Notamacropus eugenii: one gene and its partners. The protein of the gene in region 4 interacts with the protein of the main gene of each other region in a pairwise test. Links are inferred from orthologs where the notes say so. Each region holds a gene or a part of one and is shown on either strand. Other genes may lie near its edges.

What was found.
Region 1: the proteins of MIPOL1 (region 4) and CCT3 interact in binary tests that used the Homo sapiens proteins (3 or more experiments, as listed by UniProt). The two-hybrid records come from large-scale screens. The link is inferred for Notamacropus eugenii from reciprocal best matches to the Homo sapiens genes MIPOL1 and CCT3.
Region 2: the proteins of MIPOL1 (region 4) and TTC12 interact in binary tests that used the Homo sapiens proteins (3 or more experiments, as listed by UniProt). The two-hybrid records come from large-scale screens. The link is inferred for Notamacropus eugenii from reciprocal best matches to the Homo sapiens genes MIPOL1 and TTC12.
Region 3: the proteins of MIPOL1 (region 4) and UBE2K interact in binary tests that used the Homo sapiens proteins (3 or more experiments, as listed by UniProt). The two-hybrid records come from large-scale screens. The link is inferred for Notamacropus eugenii from reciprocal best matches to the Homo sapiens genes MIPOL1 and UBE2K.

Annotation. Positions count from the first base shown.
Region 1 is NC_092873.1:380,398,646-380,406,688, forward strand, and holds the start of CCT3 (T-complex protein 1 subunit gamma), read right to left. Parts: upstream 3,297-8,043; 5' UTR 2,933-3,296; coding exon 2,902-2,932; intron 1,610-2,901; coding exon 1,548-1,609; intron 930-1,547; coding exon 879-929; intron 766-878; coding exon 703-765; intron 377-702; coding exon 280-376; intron 1-279. Other genes in the region: TSACC (TSSK6-activating co-chaperone protein), read left to right, coding at 6,414-6,553, 7,106-7,164. UniProt on the Homo sapiens protein: Component of the chaperonin-containing T-complex (TRiC), a molecular chaperone complex that assists the folding of actin, tubulin and other proteins upon ATP hydrolysis.
Region 2 is NC_092876.1:140,188,358-140,196,057, forward strand, and holds the start of TTC12 (tetratricopeptide repeat protein 12), read right to left. Parts: upstream 3,303-7,700; 5' UTR 3,206-3,302; exon of another isoform or gene 3,126-3,205; intron 2,998-3,125; exon of another isoform or gene 2,900-2,997; intron 1-2,899. UniProt on the Homo sapiens protein: Cytoplasmic protein that plays a role in the proper assembly of dynein arm complexes in motile cilia in both respiratory cells and sperm flagella.
Region 3 is NC_092877.1:93,757,440-93,765,198, reverse strand, and holds the start of UBE2K (ubiquitin-conjugating enzyme E2 K), read right to left. Parts: upstream 3,363-7,759; 5' UTR 3,340-3,362; coding exon 3,277-3,339; intron 1-3,276. UniProt on the Homo sapiens protein: Accepts ubiquitin from the E1 complex and catalyzes its covalent attachment to other proteins. In vitro, in the presence or in the absence of BRCA1-BARD1 E3 ubiquitin-protein ligase complex, catalyzes the synthesis of 'Lys-48'-linked polyubiquitin chains.
Region 4 is NC_092872.1:330,684,593-330,692,936, reverse strand, and holds the start of MIPOL1 (mirror-image polydactyly gene 1 protein), read right to left. Parts: upstream 3,601-8,344; 5' UTR 3,477-3,600; intron 1-3,476.

The DNA of each region.
Region 1 (8,043 bases), on a different chromosome or scaffold from region 4:
TAAGGAAAATGAAGTCACCAGATGGCAAATGACTTGCAAGGTTATTATTTACAATATGAAGTCAGGTCCTCTGACTAAAAATCTAGTGCTATTCCTACCATGCCAAATGGTCTATATATCACTAAACTAGGATTGAAAAGTTCACCTTCCATGTTTGAATCTATTAGGTTATGTAGAAAAGTAGCAGAAATTATTTAAATTGTATTACTATCATACATCTGTACAGCATTTTACTCATACTGTGTTCTGTTTCCCTTCATTAACTTCCCTGTATCTTACCAAGAATAATCACTGATGTAGTCCCATCACCAACTTCTTCATCTTGGGTCCGACTGATTTCAATCATTGATTTGGCTGCTGGATGCTGGACTTGAATCTGGAGAGGATCAAGACAATTCAAGACAATTCCCAACATCTTTTTTTCTGTCTATCCTGCTTGTCCCTAATTCAGCTCTCTACCTTGGAGATATGCACTTGTGTATTTTCTTACTCTGCTTCTAAGAAGATTACAAATAAAAATGATCCTACATAGTAAAAGCTGGAGAATTCAGCCTTTATTATCTATGTAACCACCCCTTAAATTCTCTTTCTGAAAAATGCATGCACAATGCCCTTATCACCTACAAAATCTTCTTAGGAAAAGCATGCTAATATCTTCCATTTCACTTATGAAACTACAAGAACGCAAAATAAAAATCAAACCTCTCGGAGAATGGCGTTGCCATCATTGGTCATCACAATACCACCCATTGGGTCCAAAAGCATCTAAGAAAAAATCAGAAGACATTGGTGATGTATGTTCACTAAGTTGAATATACCAGGGGTGGGTAAATTGAGGTATTTCTTAGTTTGAGTGTTGCTAAAAGAGCTAAACTTACCTTCATCATGGACTTAGGTCCCAGACATGTTCGGATGACATCTGCAATAGTCTGATGGGAAAAAAGGTATAGATATGCAAATTCTAATGTGGCCTTAAATATATATATATATTTAACTTCAATAAAAGTGACAGATAAAGAAGTTGTACAACAGTTCTCTATTTGTACTGGTAGTTTTCGCAACTGGAGCTCCATATACAAAAGAAATCATGAATGTCAGAAGTGGGAGTAGGAAGGAAGAGGAGAAATGACAAAGAGTTATGGCTGACCCTCAGAGTCAAAAATCTTTCAGGTGAATGTGTCAAACTGTTTTGAGGGAGAAGAGGGCCACACAGCTACTTTTGTCAATGTGGGAGAACTCCCAACAAGCCTAGTTGAACTAACTGGCAGATGAGTTTGGGGTCCTTAAGAAATGTTTCCCTGAGCTTTCCATGCCCAATAGTCAGACACTAAAGGGACTGTCCATTCCATTCACAATCCGCCAGGCAAGTAAACTTCTGTTATAAAACACCAGCTTTCACTCACTTCACATATCACCTTTTTGCTTTACTGACTTTACTTGTGTATATATATCACTGAGGGATTGTTGTGATACTCAGAAAAAAGAGAATCAAGTCAAACTGTAAGACTAAAACAATCCTGGGGGGGAGGGGGTCTAATGAAAGATACCTTGGCAGCACTGATGTTCCCTGATTGTACTTTCCTTCCAGATTCCCGTTTTGTACTCTGACCTGAAATGCATGAAAAACAAAACAGTTGAACAATGTCTCATGATTGCCTTTGCTTTTTCACACTTGTGATGAATGAAAAGTATTTATATCAAGTGATTAGTATTTGATAAGCATTGTACTAAGAGTCAGAGCCACAAATACAAAATTGGGATAATCTACCCTCAAAGAGTTTTACCTTTTAACCCAGGAGACAAGGCATAAGATATATATAAGGGAGAGTTAGCCACGAAAGAGACATTTTCCCAACATCACTGAGAAAAAAAATACATTATCTCATAACTTACAGAACTCCCCTCATATTTTTGGTCTTATTTTTCACTAGAACAAATTCCAATGACGTTAGAGAAAAATGGGAGAAAAGTTTTTAATAGATGATTTTCTGTTTAGCGTTACTAAAAGTGTTCCGGTGTGCGTACAGAAGTAACCAGAGCAGCGGCTGAGAATGCCATACGGCCTAGATACGTATGTATAGGCACTGAAGCAACCTAGGTAGCAGCGGAGGATGCTGTATGGACTAGACGACTTCCCACGTTCCTCCTTCCGGCTCTAGAGCCATGATCAAATTGTTCTACCTCTTCAGGATCTTCAAATCCTTCAAGGTAAGACAACCCAGGTCACAAAGTATGGAGGCCGCAATTCCTACCAATACCAAGTCACTTCTAAGGCGTCCTGAGTCCGTGTCAGGGTCCCACGAACACGGTCTGAGGACAACACAGCCTCTATAACTCAAAGAACAAAACTCGACACGGGCTGGGAAAAAATTCGGGGAGTTGATGGAGGGAGGAGAAAGAACCCCGAAGTGAGAGGGGCTTTTACAAACCGCTTTCCTCCCAACGACCCGGTGGGGCGGGGGGTGCAGGTCTGCTTCCGTTCTACGGTGAAGAGAAGGGCCCCTCTAGGGGTCGAACCGCTACCTCTCAGGACAAGGATGTGTTTGTGGGGGCAGGGAGATCTGCGGCGGATGGGGGGAAGAAATCACGTGGAGAGGCATTAATGAATCGAGGAGATCTGCAAGGCCAGAAGGCAGTCCTGGGCCCTGGATCGGGAGGCCGGTCAGGGAGCGCGCAGGGGGTTGCCTCCCTCAGTGGGAGAGAAGTCCTGGGGGTGGGGGGGAGTGACCGAAGGGCCAGGGATCCCGCACCCGCGGGAGATCCGGGCATTACTACGGGCAAATGAAACGACGCGCAGAGATCAGTTGCGGGGGGATTCCTGGGGATCAGGGGCCTTCCGAAATGGGTGTGGGGAGGCATGGCACAAAAGGTCGGGTCAGCCTCTAGTCCCCTACGACTTACTGAGCACGAGCACGGGGCGATGGCCCATCATGGCGGCGCGGAGCCGGGAACCGGGAGCTAGGTGAACCGGCGGAACCTTCTGGAGATAGAGCCAGAATGCGGTGCCCGAGCAGCGCCGCCGCTACAGCGCCTACACCTAAACGTGCTATCCTTTGTGCTGCAGCCAATCCCCTCACACGTCTCGTTGACAGGCACCAATATAAGCCAATCGGTACCTACGGTCCCGCCTCTCTGGCCCGAACGGCTATGCAAGCTAGGTAGAGAGCGTGCCGAACGGAGGGGAGGGGCAGCTCAAGCGCAGGCGCAATTGGATGACCGCTCCCGGCCGGGCCGCGTGCAGACTCTTGCCGGTGCCCTTCACGCAGCCGCTTTAGCGCAGGCAGTTGATTGGTTGGTGTTTCAGCGCGCAAGCGCAACAGCTCCTGGGTGGGGCTCTGGAAGCGGGGAGAGTTTATGCTTTTGTTTTACATAGCAAGTGAGTGAACTGAACCATCTCCTCCTGCTTTACCTGGCCTCTGAAGAACTAGGAAGACATAACAGCCTTCAATCAGTCAGTTCGAACCCAGCAAAGGTGAGGGAATGGCGTATGGGCGAGACGTCAACCGGCATTTGAGACAGAAACGTGACGTTTTGCCGCAGGGTGATATGGGAGTTGTAGTCTTCAGGACTGGATAACAGTACATTCCCTGTACGTGCTGGGATTTGTAGTTGGTTGCCCAGTTAGCTTTGTGACCGAATCTTTGCCTTCTTATGCTATTGCTGTTTACGTGATAACCAGTAATAATAACTCACAATTTTATACCACCTAAAAATGTACAGTGCCCTTTTCATACAAAAGCCTTGCCAGTCATGTAGTTGGAGCACCCTCGTTTCGCTCATCAACAGATTTATTCAGCAGCGAGCATTAGGCACTGTGCTAAGTGCTGGGGGTACAAAGAAAGGCAAAAACACGGGCGCTCCCCTGTAGGAACTCACATTCGAATGTGGAAGACAACATGCAAACAGCTGTATACATACAGAATACATCTAGGGGGAGGGAGGAAGAAGGCAGAAGGTGGCATTTAAGGTATCGTGAAGGAAGCTAGCAGGTGAGGAAGAACCAATCAATCAACAATAAATGCCGAGCGTTGTGGGAAGCAATGAGGGTATAAAAAGAGGTAAAAGATAGTTCCTATGCCCAAGAGGTTTGCAGTCTAACGGGGGAGATAACATACAAACAACAAAAGCTATATACAGAATAAATAGGAAAATATTAATGGAAGGAAAGCACTAGAATTAAGAGGGTTTGGGCAAAGCTTCCTGCAGAAGATGGGATTTTAGCTGGGACTTAAAGGAAGCCAGGTGAGTCATTAGGGAGAATTGAGAAGAGCTTTCCAGGCATGGTGCAGAGCCAAAGAAAATGCCCTGAGTTGGGAGGTGAAGTGTTTTCTTCAAGAAACAGTCAGGAGGCCAGTGTCACTGGACCGAAGAGTGCTGACTGGGAATAAGATGTAAGAAAACTGGAAAGGTAGGAGAGGGCTAGGTTATGAGGGTCTCTGAATACTAAACAAAGCATTTTAGTTTATGGAGTAGGGGAGAAACATGGTGAGACCTGTGATTTAGGAAGATCACTTTGGTGACTGAATGGAGGATAGATTGGAGTAGAGAGACTTGATTCCAGAAGACCCATGCACAGGCTGTTTCAGTAATAGGGAAAGCAGGAGAGGAAGGGGATGGTTGAGGGGGAAAGACAATGAGTTCTGTTTTGGACATGTTTAGCCTAAGAGATCCTATTGGAGATCCATTTTGAGCTGAAAGGCATTTGGAGATGTGAAATTAGAGATCAGCAGAGAGTTTGGGGCAGGATAGGTAGATTTGAGACTCATTAGGATGGGGATGATAATTCTTGGAAGCTAATGAGATCCCCGAGTGAAGTAGTATTGAGGGAAGAAAAGAAGAGAGTGAAAGAAAGAACCCTGAAGTACACCTACCTTTTGTGGGAGTAACCTGGATGAAGATCCAGTAAAGGAGATAGAGAAGGAGTAGTCAGACAGGTAGGAGGAGAATCAGGAGAGAGTGGTGTCCCAAAAACCTAGACAGAAGAGAGTAGTATTAGGGAGGAGAGAGTGTCAGAGGCTTCAGAGAGGTCAAGAGGGATGAGGTTTGGGAAAAGTCCATTGGATTTCACAACTAAGAGCTCTTTGGAGAGAGCAGTTTCAGTGGAATAAGGTGGAAAGCCAAATTGTAAGGGGGTTAAGAACAAAGTGAGAGGAAACAAGGTGGAGGCACCTATTGTAAACGGTCTTTTTGAGGCATTTAGCCACAAAGAGTAGAAGATATATAGGATGATAGTTAGTGGAGATGGAAGGATCAAGTGAGGGTTTTTTGAGGGTGGAGGAAGACGTGCATGCTTGTAGGCAGTAACGAATAGGCCAGAGCTGAAAAGTAAGTATTATGGTGGGGAATAACAGAGCAGGCAATCTGTTGGAGGAGGTGAGATGGAGTGGGATCACTTAAACAGGTAGAGGGTTAACCTTGGTAAAGAGTAAGTCCATTTCATCATGTGAGGCAGGTGAAGAGCAGGTAATGGCAGAAGGCTTCTTCTGAGTGATAAGAGATCAGGAAATGATAGGAGATGAGGAAGGGGTGAGAAGAGGGAGTTTATTGTGAATAGCTTCGATCTTTTTTTTCTGTAAAATAGAAGGCAAGGTTCTTAGCTGAGAGGATGGTGGAAGGGAACTGTGAGAGGTTTGAGGAGGGATGAAAAAATTGGGAAGAGCCTCTGTGGAGAGCTGGATGGTGAATGGGTGAGAGAGACATAGTAGGCTTGCCTAGCAACATGAAAAGAACATTCTAGGCTTGGGGAACAACCAGTGAAAATGCACGGAGTGTGGAGGTGGAGTAACTGTTCCGTGAACTACTACAAGACAGTAGGATTGTAGAGTACATGAAGGAGAAAAAAGCGTAAGAAGACTTGGAAAGGTCCTGGGGGCTGGGTTGAAAAGGACCTTCCAAGACAAACAAAATAGTTTATATTTGATCCTGGAGGGAATAGGGAGCCACAGAATTATTTTTTCAGTAGTGGGTTGATAGGTCAGACCTGAGCTTTAGGCAGATCCCTTTGGCTGAAGGGACTTAACTGGGGAGAGACTTGAGGTGGGGACCAAGCCAGCAGGTCTATTGTAATAGACCCTGGTCATGTGATGAGGACCTGTACTAGAGTGGTAGCTGTGTGAATGGAGGCTCCCATTTTTGATGACTTGCTGCATTGTCACACCTAGTAAATGTCAGAACCAGAATCTAGGCCTCTGTGGAAGTAAATGATAGTAATGTTTCATAGCTCTTTGTACTCTTTGGAACTCTGTGCTAGGTATTAAGTATTTGGAGGAACTCTGAGAGGCAGTCTGCCAAAGTGGTAGAGACCTCTCTGGAAAATGAGGAAGACCTAGGTTCACCTCTGATACATCCTGGCTGTGTGGCCTGGGCAAGGCACTTAGCTTCTCAATTCTCTAAGATCAAGTGCAGATAAGGTGATGACTGCAGGGAACAAGTTATTTCCTTACCTGAGAATTCTTCATACCAATAAAAATCACAGGTCCAGTCTCTGTTCTTTGTCTAAGAACTCTGAAGTCTCCCAGATCACCTTCTTTTTTTGTTGCCACATACTGAAAAGGTTGTGTAGGGATAGTTGGGGAGGTTGTGGGGATCATGGCAATACTGTTTTTTGTTTCCTTGTAGGATAGAAAAGGAAGGAAGGGTTGACATTGTCCAAATTAGCTAGCCTAGAGTTCTTAGCTGTAAAGGAAGACACTGAGAGGTATGGGTAGGGTGTTATTTACAGAAATGTTCTTTTCAAGAGTCTTACAAATCTGGGTTGGGGTAGGTATACGTGTGCCCAGAAGCAGGAAGGTAGTACTGGTTTATTTGTCACCACTGGATCATTTGTATTAGTAGAGTGAAGGTGAGGGAGGCAGTGATGCTCCTCAAGTAGTAGATGATGAAAAAATTGTTTATATTTGACTTTGTAATGTAGACACAAATGTGGAAATACAGTGTCTTCCTTGTGGTGGCTCACTTCCTAGGGGAAACAGCTTAAGATCTATCAAGGTTATGGAGAGGAGGGTTTGTAATTTACTGAGAGTTCTATATAGTTGTGATAAGAATACTTAAAATAGTACAGAAATGAGATGTTTTCCAGCCCAGTGATATAGCTGTTCTTTCTCAGGAACCAGAACTTTGCTAATCAGATGGAGAAGCCAAAAAGTAACTCTGCCAAAAGAAAAGGTAAGTGGCCTGCAGGAAGGGGTCCCCCTCTTCTCCTTTAAGTCTAAGACCTTCTTCATTCTATAGTAATGTGTCTAATCAGCAGTTGGATGTACATTTTTTTCCTGCCATCTTTAATTGTACATTTTCACCTTTGCCCTGTCTTCTCTGTTAAATAGTCATACCTCAAAGGATACTGTTCTTTTGTACCTCCCCAGTGTACCTATTAGGAGGCTTTCTTAGCAGTGCTCACCAGACACATGGTAGTAACTCAGGCCAACAGACTTTATAGTATAGGTGGGCTGGTTGAAGTTAGCAGTGACCTGGGATGACTTCTGGATAGGCATTCTGTGAAAAGTCTGAGATAAACACTGCTCCATATTTCCGTGAACATGACTGTATACAGGCAGGGAAGAGTGGAATCTTGTTCTGTGATTTGCCATATCTAAGCCAAAATGACACGTAGGTAAGGAATATATTATTTGCATGATATGAGATATCTCGCAAACTGTTTGCTGATTTCAGTTTATCGATAGCTTGGACTCTCTCATTTATCTCTGGTACCTTAGATAATTCTTCCTCTAGCTCAGTGGGCTTCAGGCCACTTTAGAAAGGGGAATGTGTCAAGATAGAGGCCTAGAATGGTCTAAAAATCGAACCAGTGCCCCTTTCCTACCATCTCGACTTTTGGGGTTCAATCTAGAGTTAAAAACTGAAAGAACTGGATTTTAACAAATCTTTTCCCTCTGATTTTTTGGTAATACCTTCCCTCTCCCTCCCAACCCTGTTCCACTCCATAGTCTGCATTGGTAGTTAAAAATATGATGATTTTGTGTAAATGATTCCTCAAACTGTTCATCACAGCAGGAAAGGCGTTCATAGTAATAGCTGACATTTATG
Region 2 (7,700 bases), on a different chromosome or scaffold from region 4:
CTGCCCCGCTCCTACCATTCCAGACTCCTTACACTTTATTCTCAATCATAAACTCTGGGATCTAGTGACATTGGCCTCCTGGATGTTTGTTCTTCAGACAAAACACTCTGTCTCCCAATTCTGTGTTTTCACTAGCTGTCCCCTGTGCCTAAAATTCTCTCCTTCCTCATCCTGGCTACCCTGAAGTCCCAACTAAAATGCCACCTTCTAGAAGCTTTTCCTTACCTATGCCCTCTATTGCCAGTCTTTTCCCTCTGTTTTATTTCCACTTTATCCTGTACATAGCTTATTTGTACATAGGTGCTTGCCTGTTGTCTTCCTTTGTAGCCCCAGAGCTTAGCATAGTGCCTAGCATATAGCAGGTGCTTAATAAATGCTTGTTGGCTTGACTTTTTGAGGAAAGCACTTTGTAAACTTTAAAATGCTATGTAAAAGATTGGCTAATGTGACAAAAAAGGAAAATGACATATGTTTGAGACATGGGAAAACTGGGACACTGATACACTGTTAGGGGAGTTGTGAACTGATCCAACCATTCTGGAGAGCAATTTGGAACTATGCCAAAAGAGCTATGAAACTGGGCATACCCTTTGATACAGAACACTGCTGGGTCTATATCCCAAAGACATCCAACAAAAGGAAAAGGATCTATTTGTACAAAAATATTTATAGCAGCTCTTTGTGTGGTGGCTAAGAACTGGAAATCAAAGGCATGCCATCAATTGGGGAATGGTTAAACAAACTGTGATACATAATGGCGATGGGAATTATTGTGCTATAAGAAATGATAGGATGATTTCAGAAAAACCTCGAAAAACTTGTACGAACGGACGCAAAGTGAAGTGAGCAGAACAAGGAGAACATCGTGCAGTATTGCATGATGAAGAACTGTGAATGAAGCTGTTCTCAGCAATACAGGATTGAAGACAATCCCAGAGGGCTAATGATGAAATCTGCTATTTGCCTCCAGAACTGATACTGTCTGAATACAGAATGGAGCATTCTATTCTTCTCTTTCTTTCAACTCAAGTCTTCTTGTACAAAATGACTAATGGAAATGTTCTACATGATTGAACATACATAAACTATATTGGATTGTTACTGTCTCAGTGAGGGGAGAGGGAAAGGGGGAATAGAATTTGGAACTCAAAAAGATTATTAAAATGTTAAAAATTTGTTTTAACACGTAATTGGGGAAAAATAAAATGTATGTATCTTAGTGTTAGCAGTAGTTCCAAACACTAACACCAACCACTAACCAACTGCCACTTATGAGCAAGTATACCCACAAGCCTTGGTAACAGCATTGGTCTCTCAGACCACTGGCCCTCAGCCAACCCTTTTGGAGATGCAACCTGGCAACTGATTCTGCTGGCTGGTGCTAAAGTTACCCCCTCTGCAAAAGCTATATCTACTAAAGATTCAGATAAGTAAGTCCTGGACACCGAAGTTCTAGGCACTGGTAGATATCAAACAGTCCAACGTCAAAATCACATATGATTTTATAAGCTGAAACATTAAATTGACAAAAACTATCTGTTGAACTACTGCTCCCTAAAGACCAAGAGAACTTTCCATCTGTCCTGAAGCTGAACCTTCCTATATGTGTTATTTCTCCTGATAGGAAATGAGCTTGTGGAGAGCAGGGGCTGTCCAGCTTTTCTTTCTGTATTCCTAGCTTGTAGCACTTTGCAGAGAGAGTGTTTCATAAATGTTTTTTTTTTCCATTCATTCACTGACTGACTTTCTTAAATGTTGTCATCATTTGATCCTCACAACAACCCTCTGTAGTAAAACAGGTATGGCAGGTAGAGAAGGGGAAGAGAACGCATATTTATACAACACTTACTGTGTGTGCTAAGTACTTTTTACAGATATTACCTCATCTGACACATTTTACAGATGGTCAGACTTTAAGTGGAGAGTTGGACTTAGGGAATGAAGGTCAGATAATAGCTGTGTGTGACAGAGGCTTTGCTGGTAAGGACTCCCTACAAGGATACTTTCTGACTAAGATATGGCATAAAGAATGAATGGAAAGGCGGTCATATTAGAATTTCATCTGCAGGAATGTTTGAATGGAAGAGGGCTTTGCTGGAGGCCCTTCTGGCCCAGAAGGAGCTCTCAAATAGTGTTCTTAGTGTGTATGTGTTATGGTCTCCTTGGACAATCAATGGACAAACCCTTCTCTGAGTAATGTTTTTAAATGCATAAAGTAAAATACAAAGGAAACTACATTAGCACATTTACCTACGTAATCATATTTAAACCTAACAGGAAACTGAGGCTGAGAGGTTAAGAAACACAGTAAGTGCCTGAAGCAGGATTTGAACACAGGTCTTCCTAGCTCCAAGTCCAACATTGCATCACTGTGACAATGTAGCAGGCTGAATTATACTGAAATAGTTATACATTTTTTTTTAAAAAACAAGTTCATATTTTTAGTAATATTGTAACGAACAACTGTGACTTTGCTACTGTAATCCATGCAATGATCTAAGATAATTCCAAAGTAGGCACGGAGAAAAATGCTACAGACTGATGATCTCAGTGCAGATCGAAGCATACTTTTTTCACTTTTATTTTTCTTGCTTTTTGCTAATCTGGAAATACATTTTGTATGACTTCACTTGTATAACTAATCTACTGCCTGCTTTCTCAGTGGGTGAGGAAGGGGTCGCGGGAGAGAATTTGGAACTCCCAATTTAAAAGAAAATGTTAAAAACAAACAAAATCCTTGATTTTGTAACCTGGATGGACTCGCAGGCTCGGCATCCCTGCCGTAGTACCGGGATCACGCCGCTAGGTGACGTCCCCGCCGCGGCCCACCAGGCTAGGGCCAAGTAGACGAGGCGGGGGCAGAGGTGGGCCCCTGCACCCTCCGAGTTTCTTTTCGCACCTGGGGCACTTCCACGTCCCGGCACCGTCTAGGCAGCAGCCTCCTCAGATCTCCACCTAAGCCAAGCCAGGCCCGGACCGGAGCGCGCTGGCGGCTCCAAATCCCCACCCCGCCCCCATCGCGTCCCCGTTGCCCCGGCAACCACTGGGCCGCTCTCCTCTCCCCACCCCCACCTGCCCAGCCAGCGGCCGGCCCCGGAGCCCATGGTGGTCCCGCGGCGCCCCACCTGTCTCAACCGGACCTCTCCTGCTTTATCCTCTCGCCGTTCAACCCCGGGGCTCGGCGCCAAGGAAGACTCCCGCCTACCTGGCTCCACAGACTTGGGGGGTCTACTACTCGGACTAGAAATGGCGGTCGCCGGCTGGGAGAGCGGGGCAGAGATTGGCCAGCTAGAGGGAGGGAGAGGGGAGGGCCCGTGAGGGGACGGGGCAGGGATTGGTTACTGAGAAGGACGGGGCGGGGCGATTGGCCTTCCGGGGGGCGGGGCCAAACGGTCAGGTGTGCTTCAGGCCCGGCACCAGAAAGGTGCTGAGGTTCTAGGGCCCCCCTCCAGGCCCGGGTGGCAGTCCCGGGAGGGGTGGGGGTCGAAAAAGGGCAGGAATCGGAGCTTGGGGGTGGCTAGAAGGACACGAGATGTGCGGTCTTGGGCTGGTCAACCTGTGAATGATGTTTGGATGGAGGATGAAAGACAACTCTCGGAGGAGTACGAGGAAGGGCCCGAGAACTGGATGGGAAAGGTGCAGCCTCTTCTCCTTCCCCTTCCTCCTCGTCCTCCTCCTCGTCCTCCTCCAAAAATGGCGGTCTCTTCATAAGGAGGTTCTTCCAACTAACCTCCCCCTCTCCCCAACAAGCCAGCCTCCCTGTTCTTGTCCTAGCTGTTGCCCAAGCACGCTGAAATGGTTCTTTCCAAGGTTACCAGTGGTCTTTTTAAGAGCCACATCTGATGGCCTCTTCTCAATCATCATCCTTCTCCTCTCTAAAGTCTCCTCTGCTGGATCATCACGTGTGTCACACCCAACCACCCCCTCACCCCAAATTTTTTTAGACGTATCCTAATATTCTGTCTGAATCCTTTATTTGCATATACTTTCTCCTTTATTAACCTCATTATCTCCCATGGGTTCAAGTATTCTCTCTAAGCAGATGACTCCCAGATTTATATATGCAAACCTAGTCTCTCCTCTGAGCTTCAGTCCTGCATCATTAATTACTTTTTGGATACTTCAGATATGTCAGGTGTTGTTTTAAGTGCTCCTTACAGATATCATCCAATCTGATTCTTTTTATAGGTGGTGAAACTTGAAGCTGAAATTGCTCTATTGACCTGAATGTTTGTTTGAATGGGCATCTGGAGGTCCCATAGGCATCCCAAACTCAACATGTCAAAAACTAAACTTATCTTTCCCCTCAATCTAAGTCTTCTCAGAACTGTGATATCTCTATGGAGGGTACCAGCATCCTTCTAATCATCCATGTTCAAAATCTAGACCTTAGCTTTGACTCTTTACTAATTCACACCCCACATAGTTAGCTCTCAAGTCTTGTAGATTTTACATGAATGAATGAATGAGGGAAAAATTTTTATTAAGCACTTTCTATACGGAAAATGCTGGGTAGGCAAAGAAAAAAAGCAGACAGTTCTTGCCCTAAGGGAGACCACATTCAGGGGAGTAGAGGGCAAGGAGGGAATCTTTAGTCCTGGAAGGTACAGGATTGGTGAGTGTGGGCATAGGGGAGTAGATTCACAACTGGAAAACTTTTATGCATTCCCTCCTTTCTGTTTCCCCAGAAACCATCCTTAGTTCAGGTCTACATCGCTTCTCTCCTGGACTCCTAGTGTAGCCTTCTAATTGATATCCCTTCTTCAAATCTGTCTCCAGGTACCTCTCTCCACACCACAGCTAAAGTGTTAGGTCCAGCTATGTCATTCAAAACCAATAGTTCCCTGTTGCCTTTAGGATCAAATTTTAACTCCTCTATTAATATGGAAAGTCCTTCCAACCTGAACCCTTGCCACCCTTATCATCGATCATTTAACTTCTCTAACTCTCTGGTTAGAGAACAGAAACTATAAGAACAAGTGAGGCCCTTCCCTTTACCTGTCTTAATAGATTTGAGGGACCCACTCTGCTTAGGAAAAAAGGGAATAAATAATCACTGAATCCTCTAACCATAAAGAATATGAACCAAAGGATGGAGGGTACAGACTAAAGGATGCTGTGGGTAGCCCAGAGTAAAATGCTATATAAATATCAGTTATCATTACTATTCTTATGGTGGCATGGTAGGGAGAGAGGTGGTTTTGAGAGTCAGGAAGACCTGAATTCAAATCCAGCCTCAGAAACTTACAACTGTGTGGCCCTGAGCAAGTCACTTAAGCTCTATTTGCCTCAGTTTGCTCATCTGTAAAATGGGGATAATAATAGCACCTAGTTGTGAGGATCCAATGAGGTAATAATTAAAGTTCTTAGCACAGTACCTGGCACCTAGTCAGCATTACATAAGTGTTAGTCATTATTATTATTATCATTATTCCACTTCTGACATATGCTGACTGGATGACCTTGGGCAAGTTACAACCTTTCAGGGGTTTAACCCAGGGCTGTCAAACTCATAAATGGGACCCCTAGGATCTCTGCTGGGCCTCATGTTGACTTAGAAAACCATGCTTTTTGTATTTTTATTTATTTTGTTAAATATTTCCCAATTTACATTTTAATATGCAATCTTAAATTAAATATTGTTAAATTATTAATAAATTAAATACAAATACTAAATTAAACATTAAACCTCTAATACTATAAGCTATGGAGAAGGTACATTGGAAAGGAGGATTCTCCTCAGGTAGTCCTCTTTACCTGCTCCATTTTCACTCCATTCCCTAGAGAAATTACTCTGAGATAGTCATATACTGTAGCTATTTTGAAAAGAGCTTTCTCAGAATGGGTCTGATCTGGGGTCCTCCGTTCTAGAGAGCAGGGTGCTTACCTCTCACTAAAGGGGGAGGTTGGAGAGGTCAAATCTTCACGTCCGCCTATAGTGGTGGTGTTTTTTTTCAAGACTACAGGTATTAGGAGAGAACAGATACGATGTTTTATAATGTTCTCTTCCCAAATCAACAGAAAACCTTAAGCTCTGTTTTGCAGCCCTCCAACCTATTCTTCTTTGAAGATATTTTCTAAATCTGAAGGCTGTGGTTGCTACAAGAAATGAAATTCTCAGACCTAGGGAGAATGCATCTGTTGGGTTGGCCAATCTACTTGGACTGAACAATTACCCAAGAGCCACCCTCCTCTGTCTATATCCATTACAGCAACACACTGGTTACTTGGATTCAAATTACATTTCCAGCATTTCTTAGATATGACTTTGGCCAATCACTAAATATCTTTAAACATTCCTTCCTTTGTCTGTAAAATGGCAATAGTAATCCTTGAACTACTCATTTCCTAGGGTTGCTATAATGAAAGGACATTTTATGTGGAGAAAAAGAAGGCAAAATAAACTGAGTAAGGAGAACATCCATACTAGTTTCCAAGGCTCAGAACAGATGTTATACAATAGAAGGCAAAGAATGGATAGTCCATTCTTTATCTGTATAGGCATACCTTGGAGATATTGTGGGTTCATTTCCAGTTAAGTGAGTATTGCCATAAAGTAAGTCACACAATTTTTTGGTTTCCCAGTGTGGATAAAAGTTATGCTCACAATATACTGTAGTCTATTAAGTGTGCAATAGTGTTATGTCTAAAAATGCACATACCTTAATTAAAAAATATTTTATTGCTAAAAAATCGAATCATCTAATCATCAGCTGAGCCTTCAGTGAGTCACAATTTTTTTGCTGGTGGAAGGCCTTGCCTCCATGTTGATAGCTGCTACCTGGTGAGGGTGGTGGTGGTTGAAGGTTGAGGTGTCTGTGGCAATTTCTTAAAACTAGACAGCAGTGAAGTTTGCTGCATCAACTGGCTCTTGCTTTTACTTGAACACTTAGCAGCCATTGTAGGGCTATTAACTGGCCTAATTTCAATATTGTTTTGTCTCCGGAAATAGGGAGACCTGAGGAGAAAGAGATGGGAACAGCTGGTAGGTGTAGTCAGAATCCACACAACATTATTGGATTGTTTGATGTCTTATATGGGAGCAGTTAATGGTTCCCCAAAACAATTAACAAGAGTAATATCAAAGATCCTTGCTCAAGGTCACCATAACAGTTATAATAATAATGACAAAGTTTGAAAAGTTGTAAGAATTACCAAAATATGACACAGATACAATGTAAGCACATGCTATTGAAAAATTGAGCCAATAGACTTGCTTGATGTGGGGTTTTGTTGAAAGGAAAATTCTTCATTTGAGCTTTCACCCTGATTAACAAGGCAAAACTCAGGACAAAGAGCATTAATGAAAAGAATTTCATTATAAGTATGTCAAAGTAGCAACACTGGAGATCAGCAATGGCTTCAAGGTAGAGACAGCTTTTATAGTAACTTTAAGATACTTTGGATAGGTCTGCCTCAGCAAAAGAGATTGGGTGCTTGCATCTCCCCCAAGGTAGCAAGAACATGACAATTTGCAGGTAGAGGTGTGTGGCAAAGAGCAGGTAATATGAAAGCTGCAGACTTGGTGTCTCCAGAGCCTCCCCCAACACTGGTTGATAAGCAGGGCTGGGAACATAGGGTAACTAAGTCAACATAATTTTCAGTTTTTTATTAAAATGCAATATTTGGGAAGAACAAATAAGGCAAAGCACAATAAAAAGAAGTATTCCTGTACTGAGGACATAAAAGAAAACTGACCT
Region 3 (7,759 bases), on a different chromosome or scaffold from region 4:
AACAAATTAGATTTTATTCTACAAATTTAAGTTTCTTCAAATACAGGTCTATAAACTCTGCCAAACGTGTGGAGATACAAATGTAAAATAAATACAACTAATTAAACTACGGTCAACATGTAGTACGAAATAAAAAATCAAAAAGTAAGAGCCTATGTGTTCTCTAAGGACAAAACACTGCCTACTAAACTGAAAGTTTAAAAATATACAAAATTATAACCACTCAAAATGAAAAGCAAACTTTTTTAATCTATGTATTTTTAAGCTAATTATGGGTGTCATTTATCTCTTCAAAATCAGTGATCACATTCAAAACACTGAACATGATGATCCTTTAAAGACCCTGTGGGAAGACCACAACCTCTTTTCATATTCCAAGAGCTTTAATTTTTTAAAATGAATCTACACTGGAAGAAAACCTGTTCACTATAAACAGTCTTAGATTCCAGGATGAAAATATCTCACTAAAAAGATCACCTTTTTCCCCCTCATCGTTCCATGAATTCCATTTCAATGTCGTTGAAAATAAACGTTAAAAGCAAAAAATAAAAATTCATGGTTTTAAGACTACCTTGCTATCAACAATAAAAGTAAAACTAAATAATAAATTCTGATGGATAACTTGGGGCTAAACAGCGGACCTACCTTATGACCCATTCCATTAATTTTGAGTTACTATTTCTTTAAAAAACATTTTTGAAGTGACTTATTAAGAATAGGTCCAGAGATCAAACTCAGATGAAACCTTAATAGGAAACTTTGAAAAGACTATGTGTCAATTAGATTTCCAAACTCAGACCTAAGAAAAAAATCTGGACAATCCTTTCACAAGATAATAAGTTAAGAATTCTTACTATAAAAATGTTCTTTTACAACTACAAAGGTTTCTGAAATGCAAAATGCCTTTGATATCAGCTGATATTCTCCATAAATACAGACTCAATATATAAGCAAACTTTGGACAGAAAAGAAAAAAACCCAAAGTAGTGAAAGAATACGACCAGACATTCAAAATATTGTTAACATTAGAAACAAAATACATGAATTAAGCTAGGAGTCCTCTCTTCTAATGAGCATAATTGGTGTTAGAATCCTTTTATAGAGCTTGATCTAATAAAAATAAATGATGGAACCTGTTTTCATCCAAGATTAAAAGGCTGAGACCCTTCCCGGGCAAAAGTCCTTTTCTACTGACTTGGGGGAAGGAGGACAAAGAAGGAAGTGCTTGCTTTCAGATGTATATGGACAGAGTTAAGTTCCCAAAAGATGGACCCTGGCATATAAGGTTTTTCTTCTGGACACACCAAGATAGTTTTCTCATTCTAATTTTGCCACTCCCAAACAACTCCCATGGGGACAAGGAGTACACAGGAATACTTGTATTCATTCAGTTATGCATAAACAAGTATTTCTAGAAACTCTGAATTCAAGTCCTTAGAATACCATGGTAATAAATCAGTCACCATTAAAACGAGTCAAAGAAACCAATATTAGAAGTAGTAAGGTGTACTTTGTAACTAGGAAATAGAAAAGGAAGCATTAAATCCATATTAAGATTTGTACAACTATTTTTAAAACCTATCCTTTTACTACGGTTACTCAGATTGGATGCTCTGAAGCACCTCCATTTCATTAGTTAGAATCACCCAATAGTCTGTAGCAGTGCAGACACTTAGGACTCTGAAGAGCGCAGTGGTTTCTGCACTGTACCACAAAAATACACAGTCATTCTTCCATTCATTTTGGCACTTGAACAAACATACAGGTCAAAGTTCACACACATGCTCTGTGGAAAAGACTCATCTGGAATACTAACACAATATACAAACATCCCAAATGTATAAAGTAGCTAGCAAAGTAATTTTTTTTAAATCACAGGATACTATGTCTACTTGCAAAGATGTGGCATTTTTTTCATATGATCATTGCAGACTCAGTAAGTTTTTAGGCCAGATGTCACCCTAGTAATGATTTCAATAGAATACTAAATTTCAAAAGTAACACTACTACTTATTACTAAAGTATCATAATAAGAAACTTAAAAGAGATCATGATCAGAACGTAATTATACTAAATATTCTGCTTCTATTTTAGGGAAGATACATAAAAATTTCCAATTAAACAATTCCATACTCTGATTATCATATGGTAATAAGTAATGCATCATCTATATCTGTTTTAAGTGGGGGAAAACTGTTTTGAGAGATCAGCATTGTTGCATGACAAACCATAAGAACATTACCAGACTGTAACATACATGAAGCACTAATAGTATGCATCGGTCTAGAAGGAACAGGAAGAATTTTGGCCAGCTGGAAATTTTTAATCATTCTTTGAACAGTCAATGATAATTAAATCACCCATCATTCTTGTTCAGAAGATAGTCGGTGAACCTTCCTATTTTCAAATGCTCTTTTTCAAAGATATTATACAAGTAAACTAAAAGGGACATAATTAAGTTTAGTCTACAATTTAAGCCACTGAGGCAAATGGCTTAAAGAGATGGTGTCTACCAACCTTTAGAGATTATATAAAAACACAGTACTGTAATCTGTTCTCACCAACCACTGTCACTGGCTAAAAATATTAAATTCACCGAAGAACTGCCTGCCCTCAGACAAACCCTGGAAGGGTCAATGCAGAGGCCCATTCCTGGGGCACCTGGAATGAATCATTGATTTCAACTGAAAAAAATCTCTTCCCTCCACTAGGACACTGAGCCACCATGTTGTCCTGGTCCCTTTCCTGCCTACCTTTCATCCAACCCATCTAAGAAGAAATCCCCCCAAGTATCGTCCTCCCTTTTTTCAGCAGTGCCCAGGGATCTTTCCCCAAGAACAGATGGGGGAGCCCTCCGGTCCGGGCCCCCGATCCCCCACCCAGCAGGGCCTGGGGCAGACCTGCTTTCCGTCCGTTCTCTTCCCACCTTTCCCCTTCCCCCAACCCACTTCCCGGGGTTTCTCGGCCTCGGCCTGCTCCTTCCCGGCGCCGCCGCAGCCACACTTCCTGCAGCGGCGGCCGTGGCGGCCGTGGCCGCCGGGCCCCTTCCCCAACACGGTCCCCCCCAATCCCAGCCTCGCCTTCCGCCGCCCTCCCGCCGGTGACACGGCCAAACCGGGGCCCAGGGCGGGGGGTGGAGGAGGGAGGCCGCCTCCCGGACACGGCGCGGAGGGGAGCCGGGCGTGCGGGGGGCCGCCCGCGGGGGGCCGGGGGGGTCGAGGAGGTCGTGCCTGGGAGGGGAGGAGGCGGGGGGACGGCCGGGAGTTCATTCCTGACCTCCTCGCTCTTCAGCACCTCCTTGAACTCTCGCTTGATTCGCTGCACCGCAATGTTGGCCATGTCTCCTCCCGCAGCCGTTTCGCACCCCCCGCCTCCGCCGCCGCCACGACCGCCGCCGCCGCCGCCGCCACCTCCGCCGCCTCCTCCTCCCTCAGCGATTCAGACCCGAGCAGGGGAGCCGTGCCGCCGCCGCCGCTCTCTCCTCACAGTGGATTCACCTCCGCGCCCGGCCACCAAAATGGCGCTGGGGCCGCGCATGCGCATGGCGATCGCCCAGCCGGGCGGCGCAGCGGCTCTCGTTGGAAGCCCCCAGGAAGCTTCTGAGCCGCGAGCCCGCCAGCCGGCCGCGAGCTTCAGCCCGTGCGCCGTAGCGTGCGTGGGGTGGTCCCGGGCTTCCGTGACGCGCGCGCGCACACTGCTCCTTCCCCCTCCCCCCCTACTCGGGGATGGGGGCTTACCCGGAGGGGCCCCTATTCAGGCTTCGCCCCTTTCCTTTAAACCCTTCCGCCGGCTGCTAGGCCCTGGCCGCCTCCCGGACCTTGCCCGGGGACTTGGCGGCAGCAGGCGGATCAGCGCACTATGAGGACCCCCTCATCCCCCCAAACGCTTCCCAGTCCATCTCCCTGCAGCCAGCCGGGCGAGGAGAGGAGGCTTTCCGGAGAAGAGAGAAAAGAGGCACCGCAGAACTCCGACCTTTCCTTCAGGGGGCCCTCCTCAAAATCGCCGCCGCCTTTTTTTTGGGTTTATTTTAGGATAAAATCAGGACAGCCCTAACAGGGAATTAGGTTCTCCTTTCTGCCGCCACCCCCACCACCCATCACAAAAGAGTGCTGACGAGGCGCTAGCGGGATACTGCCGCAAAGCCCCCCCGCATGGCCCGGGCCAGCCCGTCCGCAGAGCAGCCGAGAAGCCGCGACGCAAAGCCCGGAGCGGCCTGGAAGTCCGGGCCAGCTTGGCCAAGGGGGTGGAGGCGGGCGGCTTCCCTGGCCGGCGCCCGTCCGGCCCGGGAAGGGCTCGCCATCGAAGGCCTGCCGAGGGGGCTGCGGCCCCCAAGGCAAGAGCTAGGGAGGATTCGAGGCCGGAGTGGGACCTTCGGGTACGGAGCCGGCTGGAGAAGGACTAGACAGGGAGGGGGAGGGGGGCGGGCCGCCACGAGCTTATCTCGCCTCCAGGGACCTGTCTTTGGGTGGGAGGCTTATCTCCAAAGAGCGAGGAAAGATACAATGTTACCGATGTGGTTTTACACAGTGTGCCTAATAAAGACAAGATGTATCCATAACCGCTACAAAAAAATGCGGCGGCAGAAAGGGAAACGAACGAAACGCCCCAAAAATATCCATTTCCCAGCTGACTAACGTCAGACATCAGAGGCTCCCAGCAGAGCCCCCTCGTGGTCCAGAAGGGAGCCGAAGTGTCTTATGTGGGTCACGGTGCGTGAACAGCCCGGCCAGACGACTACACGGAAGTCGGGGTTTGGGGGTTGGGGTTTTTTTTTTTACTTTGTTACGCAAACCTCTGCGTCTGCGCCTGGACCGGTTTTGATCCAAGGGTTTTGGGGTTTACACGCCATCAAAGGGGCATTAGGTCTCAGCCCATAGACACGTCTTCAATGCAAGTCCCCAGATTCCCAACATGAATGAAATTCACAAAATACCAATAGTTCTTTACCAGAATTTTAGGTTTTTCTATAAAGCCATCCGCCAACACCACACAGACCCTTCTGAAAATACGGTAGTTCACCAAGATGATCAGTTTACGAGTTACTCGGCCACCTCAGGTAACATTTTTCTTTTACCTCTTAGTAAGGTAGCGTGAATTATCTTGTGTAGTCGATGTGATATAACTCCCTTATTAAACTTTCACAAAGGCAAGGGCCGGCCGGCATCTAACTTAATGCTGAATTCCTCACATATCCACGTACCCTTTTACTAGGAAAATAAATGACTGTTGCCTTTAAGTTGGGATCCCAGATTGAAAGCTGGGAAGGTTCGGTCCAACCCCCTCATTTTGAAGATGAAGAAACAGGCCCAGAGGTGGAGACTCATTCAAGGTTACAACAGGAGTAAGTGGCAGAATTATTGGGTCTTGAATTCCTATCCTCCGATGCCAGACTCAGCAGCATTCTATAGTAGAGAGGTATTTAATAACTACTTATTGAACTGAATTTTTATTTTAAGGGCTGAGATTTCACAGGATTTCCCATCCTGTGTGCTGCTGGTGTTGTTACAGATGAGGGAAAGGGTTTGGATTGAGAAATGGATTTTCTAATGGCTTGGAGTACTGTGGTAACTTTTGTTACCACTTAAAGGCCTGTTTGGTTTGTTTGTTTTTTTCTGCGATACATTTTATTTAGACTTGACAGAAGATTCCTAACAAAGCATCCTCCAAACCCTCCCTTATTTCTCCAATACAGTTCAAGGAAATAGTTAAACAAAATTGCCTTGTAGACTACTAAAAGTTTTGACTCAGGCCAAATTAAATACCATAGTGTAATAAGGTATGATTCCCCTCTAACGGCACAAGTAGCCTCCACTATTTTAGAATACTAGAATAGTCATGATTTTCCTTTCAAAGAAGAAATAAATATTCAAGATTTCTTTTTTCACTCTTGCATTGATCTTACTGCTCAATTCAGGCACTGTGCTAAGGGTTGGGGATACAAAAAGGCAAAAGACAGTCCCTACCTTTAAGAACTTCACATTCTAACTGCCTTTCTGGGTTGAAGTTTTTTATTCATCCTGCAAAACAGTTCTTTTTTATCTTCATTCTTTTCCTGACAAAGGACATCTGGTATTTTGCCAGATTCTTTAGACTTCTTTCTCTTTCTTTACTTTTACTTCCATCCCCCTCATTTGATTCTCTTTGAAAAATCTCTTTACTTCAAAACATTGAACTCTAAAATAATTTTGCTTTCACTGCACTGACTGTTAGCATACTGTTAGCTCTACCCTTAGCATACTGTTAGTTTCCCTGGGCAGCTGGAATGGGAAGCTCCAGCTGCAGGAGGAGAAGGCTACATTTAGTTCCAGACAGTCAAACTTCTAAACTTAGCTCCAGGCCAGTGGGGCACCAGAGGATTGATTGTGATGCATGCTGCATTATTCCAGACTCAGAATGCATTAGAAACCTGACCAATGTGACTTTTAAAAGATTTGCAGAGTGAAGCAGAAATGTTACAAGGCCAGCTTTGCAAGTGCAGGCTCCCAGCAGAGCCATAATGGCCATCATTATCAAGATAGTAGAAAATGGGGATGTCTCTGAACAAATTCAGAGTGCTTGGAATTCATAATAAAATTTTTCACTCTTTTATATTAGACATTAATAATAATGTGGATTCTAATAAATTAACCTCTTACTGTATTTATTAATTTGGCTTTAGGAAAGTTTAAAATAATATTTACCAATGTAACTTTCAACATTTTTGTATACTTGATTAAGCAAAGCAACCTTAGACCCTAGTGGAGATAGCCCAGGATCCTGAACCCAAGAACCCAGCAAATAGCAATGTACTCTAGTGTATGGTGTACCCCAGGTCCACTGGACCTACATACCACCCAACCTCCATAGCTATCATGAGGGGATAGATCATAGTGGAAAAGAGATCCATCTTTCCTCATCACCAACAGCATCTCTCAGATGGAATGAGGAGCCCTGGGAATGGCAACATCTCCACAGCAACATAGGCCTCACAGTCATCCTCTAGGAGGGCAGCACCTATGGAGAAGGAACCAGTTATCTCCACCAACTGTCAACCAGCTGCCACACACAGGACAGGCAAGCCAGACTCACTGAAGCAGCCAGGCATCCTAAAGTAGAAATAGGGAACAATTGTGCTAGGCAAGTCAAGTTTGTCAGATCCCTGACAAAGACAAGCCCAAGACTCTGACCAAGAGCCTGGGAAATAGTAACTCTTCCAGCGTTATCCAAATGCCATCATCCTAACAGTCAATTCCTCTGGGGATACATCCTGGCAACTACTTATGTAGGTGCTGTAGCCGCAGCTTTTAAAGATGGGGGAAAAAAAGTCCTTGACACTGCCAAATGGTTCAACATCAAGAATAGGTGAATTTATCAGTGGAAATGATATTAAAAAGGAGACACTAGCATCTGCTTTGCCATTGTACCCTAAAGACCGTAGGACTTTTCCATGGGACTTGTACCCGAAACCTTCCATATGTATTATCTCCCCTATTGGAATGGAGCTTTCTGAGAGCTTTTCTATTTATATGCCGAGTGCTACACACATAGTAAGCACTTAATAAATGCTTTATTAATTTATCCATTTATTCACCCTACTTATGGAGGTCTGCCAATTACATTTCCCAGATTCCTGTTAGGGTCTTATGTAGTTTGGAGGAATCAGTTCATTATTTCATTGACTTTTCCATATGCAGTTGAGATTTATTCAAGCTTCACACTGTTTCTTAAGTGTGGAATGCTTCATTTAGATCTGAAAGAACTTCCTTTGGATTTAATAGTC
Region 4 (8,344 bases):
GTTACTCCCTAGATCTATACACTAGTTATTTCCCCTTATCCAGATAGACTGGAACAACAAATTAATGTAAATTTTTCTTCATAGATGATATTGATGAAGCTGTTTGGAAAATTGCTAAATCCAATTATGTGGTACTCTCTCCAAAGGAATATAAATTTTGATTGCTTATACTTCACAAGATATCTTAGGGTTTGGGGGCTAGATTTTTTTTTTATTTTTTATTTATTCCCCCCCCCCCAAACCTGGGACAATTAATTCTTTTGTCTCAACAAGTTTTCATTTGATTTTTTGAAATATAGTTCTGAAAAACAAGGCTTTGATAAAGCCCATTGGGATTCAAATGAAACTACTTGACTGTGTCTTAAACTCAAATCACTCAGGCTCTCACTGATTGGCCAATAATAGATCCCAGCTCAAGCCTCACTTGGTTATTGCCTGGTTTCAGAGGGCTCAAAGTGAGTGGAAACAGTAATTGTTGTCGTTACTGGCCAGAAGCCCTAAGGGTCCTCTTCTCACAGAACGATTCTTTTGAGAAGGCAAACTAGGTGATCTTTGGCCTCATTTCCTACAAGCTTTAAGCACTGAAGGGGTGTTGCCTGAGACAAACTGAGACCAAGAAAAGACCATGGTTTAAAAAGGTCAAACTCTCCCACACCCTCCTGAGAGGAGGGTCCTTTGAGAACAAAGGACAGAACAAATCTAGTTACTGATCCCACTAAAAATCATTATTATACTCAAAAACTCATAGGTCATTTGGAATATAGTGTAAAACAGCACAGAAAGTGGCACAGATTTGGTGCTAGGGATCCTGTGTTCAAATATTGGCTTTGTAACCTCTCCTGGACCTCAGTTCCCTTATCTCTAAAATGAAGGATTTAGAGAAGACCTCTAAGGTTCCTTCCAACTCAAAATCTATAATGCTTTTGACGAGGTGCTTGGTCCCCAATTCTAAAATCACATTTCTCTCCAAAATTACATTTCTCCCTATCGTCGAAACACTATCCCAGGCAGTTTCTCCTCAGTCCAAGGACATTGCACCCTAGATCTCTCTTCCTGATACAGTAGCCAGTTGCACCTACAGTTTCTATTAGTTTGAACCAGCTGTGTTCTGCTGGCTGAATTGGCCGTGAACTGGGTCCTAAAGATATTTACTACTCACTAACCAACCACAGGTGTCCTAGACTTAGACACAGGTACACTCTCTTACATTTATCTCGTCTAACAAGACATTGATGGGAGCATCCTGAGTATTTCTCAGTCAGCCCTGACCATTAGTGGACTTAGTGATGTTTCAGGCCTAAAACCACACCTCCATGTAGCCCTCCCCTCTTTGGGCTATTTCCCAATGAACTCTGGGTAAAGTACCAGTGAAGTAGATACTAAAAGTGCATGTTCCTTTTAAGAACTAACCACTCCTGAACCACTCCCTAATCCTGCCCTGAATCACCTAGTTAGCATATTTGGCAGGTTATACTATAGAATATACTATATAAACTTGAACTGGACCCTTTTTGGGTTGCAGGTTCCCTAACAACTCTTGCCCGCTGAAAAGCTTAATAAATCTTTACTACCTTGACCTCAAGAATGCTGGAGTTTGAGAATTCTTTTCCAGATGGCCCACACAGGGAACTTAGTCTTGGTGCTCAGGTATCTTCTTAGCTCTCACTCTAATCTCACTTTCCCCAATTCTAAAGTTAGGGATTTCAACTAAAATGAGGTTACAGAAACATAAAATCCAAAAGTTAGAAAAGACCTCAAAGAGGACCTAGTCCAACCCTATACTCAAACAAGAATCCCTTTCTTGACAAACTCACTGCTCATTCATCCTTTACCTGACAATTTTCATTGAGGAAGAATACCCGTCAAGGAAATCCATTTGACTTTTGGATAGTTCTAATTGACAGGAAATTTTTCCTAACACCAAACCAAAATTTAAAGCTTAACAGCTTCCACGTAGTTTACCGATGGGGCCAAAGGGAACAGCTCTATTCCCTTCTAGAGGCAAGAGAGACTATATAGAGCCCTGGACCTGGAGTCAGGAAGATGAGTTCAAAATCAACCTCAGACACTTATGTGACCCTCAGGACACATGTGACCCCAGGCCAAATCACTTATCCAGTCTCCTTAACTCCTCTCAACTGGGAGCAAGCTTAATGCTCACTGAATGATTGATTCAAATCAATGATAAAAATGTTAAATAGCACAGGACCAATCACTCCATCCATCCACTGGAGAACCCTCTCTGAGTTGATACCAAACCATTAATAACTACTTTTTGAATAAGCCCTTCAACTAATTACAAATCCACCTGAAGGTAAAATTATCTAAACAAAATTTCTCTACCTCTTCCTAGAGAACAGCAAAAAGCATTTGATCCTATAATCCTAAATAGTCACCATATATACCTAAAATCTTAGCTATACCTTTATTATTCTCTGATACACAAAATATGTCATCCTAAAAGCTGTGAAGGCCAGAAGGGGGAGGAGGGATAACAGTAAAAAAAAAAAAAAAAAAAAATACAGCATTATTTTAGAGCCAAATGTCCAATAATATAACTAGACTAGAGATTCCCAAGCAACAATAAAGAAAGGTGATGGTAAAATTGTGATTTCAGAATCTCAATTCATGATCTTGTTTCAAATAATAGCTAGCCTTTGTTATCATCGTGTAGCTTAAATAACACTCCCACACATACAGAAAAGTGCTTTAGGCACATTTTCACAAAAAAATAGGTTACAAAGTTGCACCACATTGTCATGACTGTAACATTGTAACACTATGTCTTTCTGTTTTGTTCGGTTGATTCATGGACCAAAAGGTAATTCACCAACAGAGCTGGGTTATCGCTACTTTCTAGATGAAGAACCCTAGGAAAACGATGTTCAAAACATTACTCCTGTTCACACGGCTCCCTTCATCCAAGTAAAGTCAACGTCCTTGAGTTCACCTCCTTAACCAGTTGGACAAGAGGGCTTTCTGATAGTTCTCCAACAAATGAGAGAAATGTTGCACGGGGAGAGATTAAATAATTTGCTCGAGAACGCAGCACTGTCAATGGAAGAATTAGCCTCGAAGCTCGAATCCCTCAAGGGCCCGCTTTATTAAGCAAGCGTCCGCCTAAAGCACCCCAACTTTTAAAATTCTGGGTCGGTTCCCCGCTGCCAAATGCCACTTAACGGGGTGCGAGGCGGGGAAAGAAGGGCGGAAGACTGTGCAATCTCTAATCTCTGTCTTCACGCAGATCGCCGCACGAGGGAGGACTCCCAGAGTCCCCCCTATCCCAGCCCTCTCCTCCTCCCCATCCTCCCCAAAGCCCGGCGGCAAATGAGAACAAGCAGGATGAACTAAGTGCCAGAGGACGTGGCAGCGGCTGCCTCCAGTCCCATCTTCTCGGAGGGACGACGAGAGGCCAGAATCAAGCCTCCTCCCTCTGGTCCCACCACCGCCGCCCAGCCCCGGTGCTAACCCTTTACCTGCGCTCCGCCCGGCACCTCCCCCAGCCCCGTGAGTTGCGCGCACTCAAGAGTTTTTCTACTCCGGACGTGTCGTCGCCCAGTTGACCAATCGCGGCTCGAGAAATGGTCAGCGCCCCGCCTCCTTCTCTTCCCTCCTCCCGCAATTCTACTCCCTCGCCCAGCGGCAAAAAAAAAAAAAAAAAAATCTAAGGTCGGCTGAAAGTGGAGCGCGCGCGCTCCCGGAAAGCACCGAAGAGAAGAGCCAAAGGAATTTTGCTCGAGCACGCGCCAGGCCCGGAAGGGGCGGGATCTAGAGGCTGCGTAGAGGGGCGTGGTCGGGGAATGGGAGGGATTGACAGAACATGCGCGAATCGGGGTGCGGGACTGTGTTCTTGGCAAGGGCCGGGACCTGGGAGGTGTGGAACGTGCAGAGAACTTTGAAAGCCAGGAGAAATGTGGTGATAGGGACCAGAGGAGCGAGCCCTATTTGGTCTGACCCTTGAGTGGGTTAAAAAGCAGGAGGAAATCTACAATGGAAAACCCATCCTGAGGGCCTGCTAAGGAGTGGGGTGTGCTTTTGTTTTTCTCGGGGACGAGGTCTGGGAGCGGTTTCGGAAAACAGATCTATGACTGGGTGGAGCCTCTCATGATCTTAACACTAGGTGGCGCCTTTTTAATTCTCTCCTGCTTATTCCCGTTGAATGGGAATTGATTGTAAAAAAAAAAAAATCATTTGAGCCGTAAGATTTTGATTGGTTACACTGTAAGGTAGGTGTTATGGGGGACAATTAGCCAAGGATAGTTAAGCAGCTTGTAGGCGTGGGCGGGGCCAAGTCCTTCCTTGGGCGGGGCCTCCCCTTTGACCACACCTCCCCCTCCACCCCTTTTCTCTTCTCTTACACTGGATTTGGGGGGAACTTAGCTTCAGCTGCTGGCCCTGGCTGTGAAACAATAACTTGCGTTGTGCTGAGACAGAAGAGAAAACTCCCAAGTTCAGTTTAAGATTCTGGCCTTTGGGAATGCAGCAGGAAGACAACATAGCTGTCCCAGAGCCAGGCTTCTCATGTCATCCCCTCAGGGTTCTTTGGGATCCTGATGGACTCCATAACCACCTGGCAGAATCCTGAACCGGTGGAGTTCCCCCCTCTCTCCAGGTTGGGCAGCAATTCTATTTAACCACTTAATATCAATTAACTTTTAGCACGGGGCATTTACCCCAAAGACAATAGCTGGAACCAAAGTGTAAATATTTCCCCCTTAAAACTCAGTTCCTACAGAGCATTGGCCCTGTCAAGTTCTTGTCCAGATGCAGCATAATTTACCTTTTGAGTCCTCCCTTCCCCAGAAACTGGAAATTGGGCTTTGCTTCTAAAGAAGCCCAACAAGGCTGGTTGGCAATAAACAAAAAATGAGCCTAGACTCCAACTCCAGGATTTCTGGAGTTAATTTGAAATTAACCATCCACCTTTGTGGTTGTTCTTCATTCCTTAAGTCCATGCTTCTCTTCCTGTGATCCCATGGACCACAGCACTCTACAAGCCCCTCTGTCATCCCCTCTCAGGGGATGTCCAGGTTCATGTTCCGTGTTTCTGATGAGTTGTTTGGGTGCATGTACTTGGGCCCCAATTCTAAAATCACATTTCTCTTTAAAAATCACATTTCTCCCTAGTCTCAAAATACTATCTCAGGCAGTTTCTCCCGAGCCCAAGGACACAGCCTGCCCTAAAACAACAGCCTGTTATCTCCCTTCCTGCTATGGTAGCCAGATGCACCTATAGAACTGATTAGTTTGAACCAGCTGTGTACTGAACGGACTGTGCCCTGGGTCATAACGACATTTACTACTCACTGACCAATCATATGTATTCTAGACTTGGACATTCCTATACTCCCTTGCATTAATCTTGTCTAACAAGTCATTGACGAGAGAAACCTGGTTATTTCTGGTCAGCCTTGACTGATGGTTGACTTGCTGACGTTTCAGGCCTGCTATTTCCTGATGAATTCTGGGTAAAATACCTGCACAGTAGATATCAAAAGTGCATGTTCCTTTAAGAACTGACCACTCCTTAACCACTCCCTAATCCTACCCCAAAATACCTAGTTAGCATATTTGGCACAAGTGATACTATAGAACATGCTATATAAACTTTCCCTGTACCCCTTTAAGGTTGCAGGTTGTCTAAGAACTCTTGCCTGCTGAAAAGTGTAATAAATCTTTACCTTGATTTCAACAGTACTTGAGTTTGTGAATTCTTCTCCAGATGACTTGCCCCTGATACTCTGGTCTTTGTGGGGGTCTCACACCCCCTTTCCAGCCCTCATCATTTCCATGGCACTGTCTGTGTGACTCTGAGCTTAACTTTGTTTGCTTCAATTTACTCATCTGCAAAATGAGCTGGAGAAGGAAATGACCAACTACTGCAGTATCTCTGCCAAGAAAGCCTCAAATGTCAGAAGAGTCAGACACAACTGAAAAACCCTTCAACTAAGAATACCTTTTAAGCTTGTATTTATGATTGCACTTTAAAGCTTGCAACATTCTTTACAAGTATAAGATTATATATCCTCAAAACCTTAGAAGTAGATTTTATTATCTTCATTTTACAGATGAGGAAACTGAGACACTCAGTGGTTGAAGGACTTGTCTAGGGTCACCCAGCTAGCTTCATAGGCAGTATTCAGGTCTTGATGGCTCCCAGACACAGCATTCTGCTACTAGCTACCTGCTGGAAAATTTCAGATGCAAAAGGCAAAGAACAGGGGCAGGTAGGTGGCACAGTAGATAGAGCACAAGCATGGAGTCAGAAAACCTTGCTTCCTTATCTGTAAAAATGAGCTAGAAAAGGAAATGACAAAACACTTCACCATCTTTGCCAAGAAAACCCCCAAATGGGGTCATGAATGTTGAAGTTTAGTGGTTCTGGGACACCAAAATGGTGGCATGCAGGTCCTGCCCAAATGAATTCAACCCATGCCTTCTTTCAGCCAAAGAAAAATAAAGTTTATTAAAAATCTGTCATATTGGCCAGACTCTTAAGGAAGCTGAGACTACAACATCTACAATGGCAAGTGAGTCAGACTGAATTTGAGCACATTCATGAAGGCCTAGATGGATCTTATATACAGAAAGACTGTGGGAGAGATCTAGGGTTGGCAAAGTAGGGGTTTAGGGAAGGTCTTGAGGAGAGTGGCCAGTAGTCTCCAGTGACTAGTGGTCGGAGGCCTAGAACCAAGATAAGATTAAGGGTGGGAAATAGCCTCAGGTGATCTGAATGTAATAGGTAACGGAAGACTAGGCTAGGTTTAAGTGTTGTAGAGCTTTGGGCAGAGGGATAATGAAAGGCTTGTAGCCTCAGGCAAACCAGATCAAGTGGGAAGATCCAAGGAGAGTTCAAGGGGGTTTCCAGAGCTTGTAGACAAATGGGACCTAAATTCTTTTGGAGTAAGGGGGAAAGGTCTCAACTTGGGCCTATACCCAGTCAATGAAAAGTAGGGCTCTGCTGAAACCAATGAACAATAGCAATAACAAAGAACAGAGGTCTGTTATTCACAGCCACAAGCCCTTAGACAGGAAATCAAAGCAGATCAGAATAGGTTACTTTATGTCTTCATATGCTCCATAATCTTGTCAAATCATGTCTCTTACATATCATCATGACTCTCCAGGATACAGATAATCTCCAGTCTCTTCACCTGGCACATCATCCCAAAGCATTCTGCACATATTCCAGATCCCCATTACAGGAAGTTTATCTAAATGTATGAATTATTAAAATCACAATAGTTCATGGTAGTCAGAGCACTGGACTTGGAGACTAGAAGGCCTGTTAAAATTCTGCCCTCGAATAATACCTGTGTAACTCTGACCAAGTGACTTAATCTCTCTGGTCCTCAGTTTCCTTATCTGTAAAATGAGGAGGTTGACCTCTGAAGTCTTTTCCAGATCCAAGTACATGATAAGCACTTAGGCAATCTCTAGACTGCAAGCTGTAAAGAAAACTTCACAGCAGCTTAAGTTCTTAGTAATCAAGCTGCACCTGACTTTCCCATAGCTGAATGAATTTTGGAGGGTGAAGAGTGGTCTGTTGGGAGATGACCTAATTACATTTTTTCTATAGATGCCATTTTATTATCTTATCTTTACTGTAGGCTGACTTCCCTTTCTACATCTAATTGTTGTAAAAGGATTTGTTTGTTTTTTGCAAAGGAGGACTTTGGTAGCTGAAGGAATTCTGTCCCTTTTCTCTATCTTGTCTATCAGGTATAGGTGGTTCCCTTTGATCTCATGTGAACAGCTATACTAACAAAGACACATTCCTTCTTGTGTAATAAGTGATAAGCATCCTTTTTTTGTTGTTGTAACAAATAGATATTACCTCTACTGTGACCAGCAAGTCTCATCTAAGGAATGATGAAATTGGTATAAATTACACTAGTCAAAATGTAACAGACATACATGTTCATCATTTACTGATGTGTGTCTCACTCTGAGTGAATAAACTACAGTTGTTCCTGTGTCTGTATCTGTATCTGTGTCCTGGGATGGCTTTTTTGCAATGGCTAGACAGGCTAGATCATTCATGTAACCATCATCTCTGATCATCTGGTAAGCTACAAACATACACGTACAACTTTTCATGGGCAAGCATTGATTTCACGTGAAAATAAGAATCAGTATAAAAGAAGAAATTAAAGGATAATGAAGAAATTAATTTAAAAAATGGAAGGTAGATTGTAACCAGTTGTGAGGAACTCTGAGGAAGCTAAGTAAGTTATGCTAAAGCCAACTATTCACTACTATAGTTCTTAATCTGAGTTCATTAACTAGTTTTTTTAAATATTTATTTTGATAACTTGTTATTGAATCATTTTAGTCATGTCCA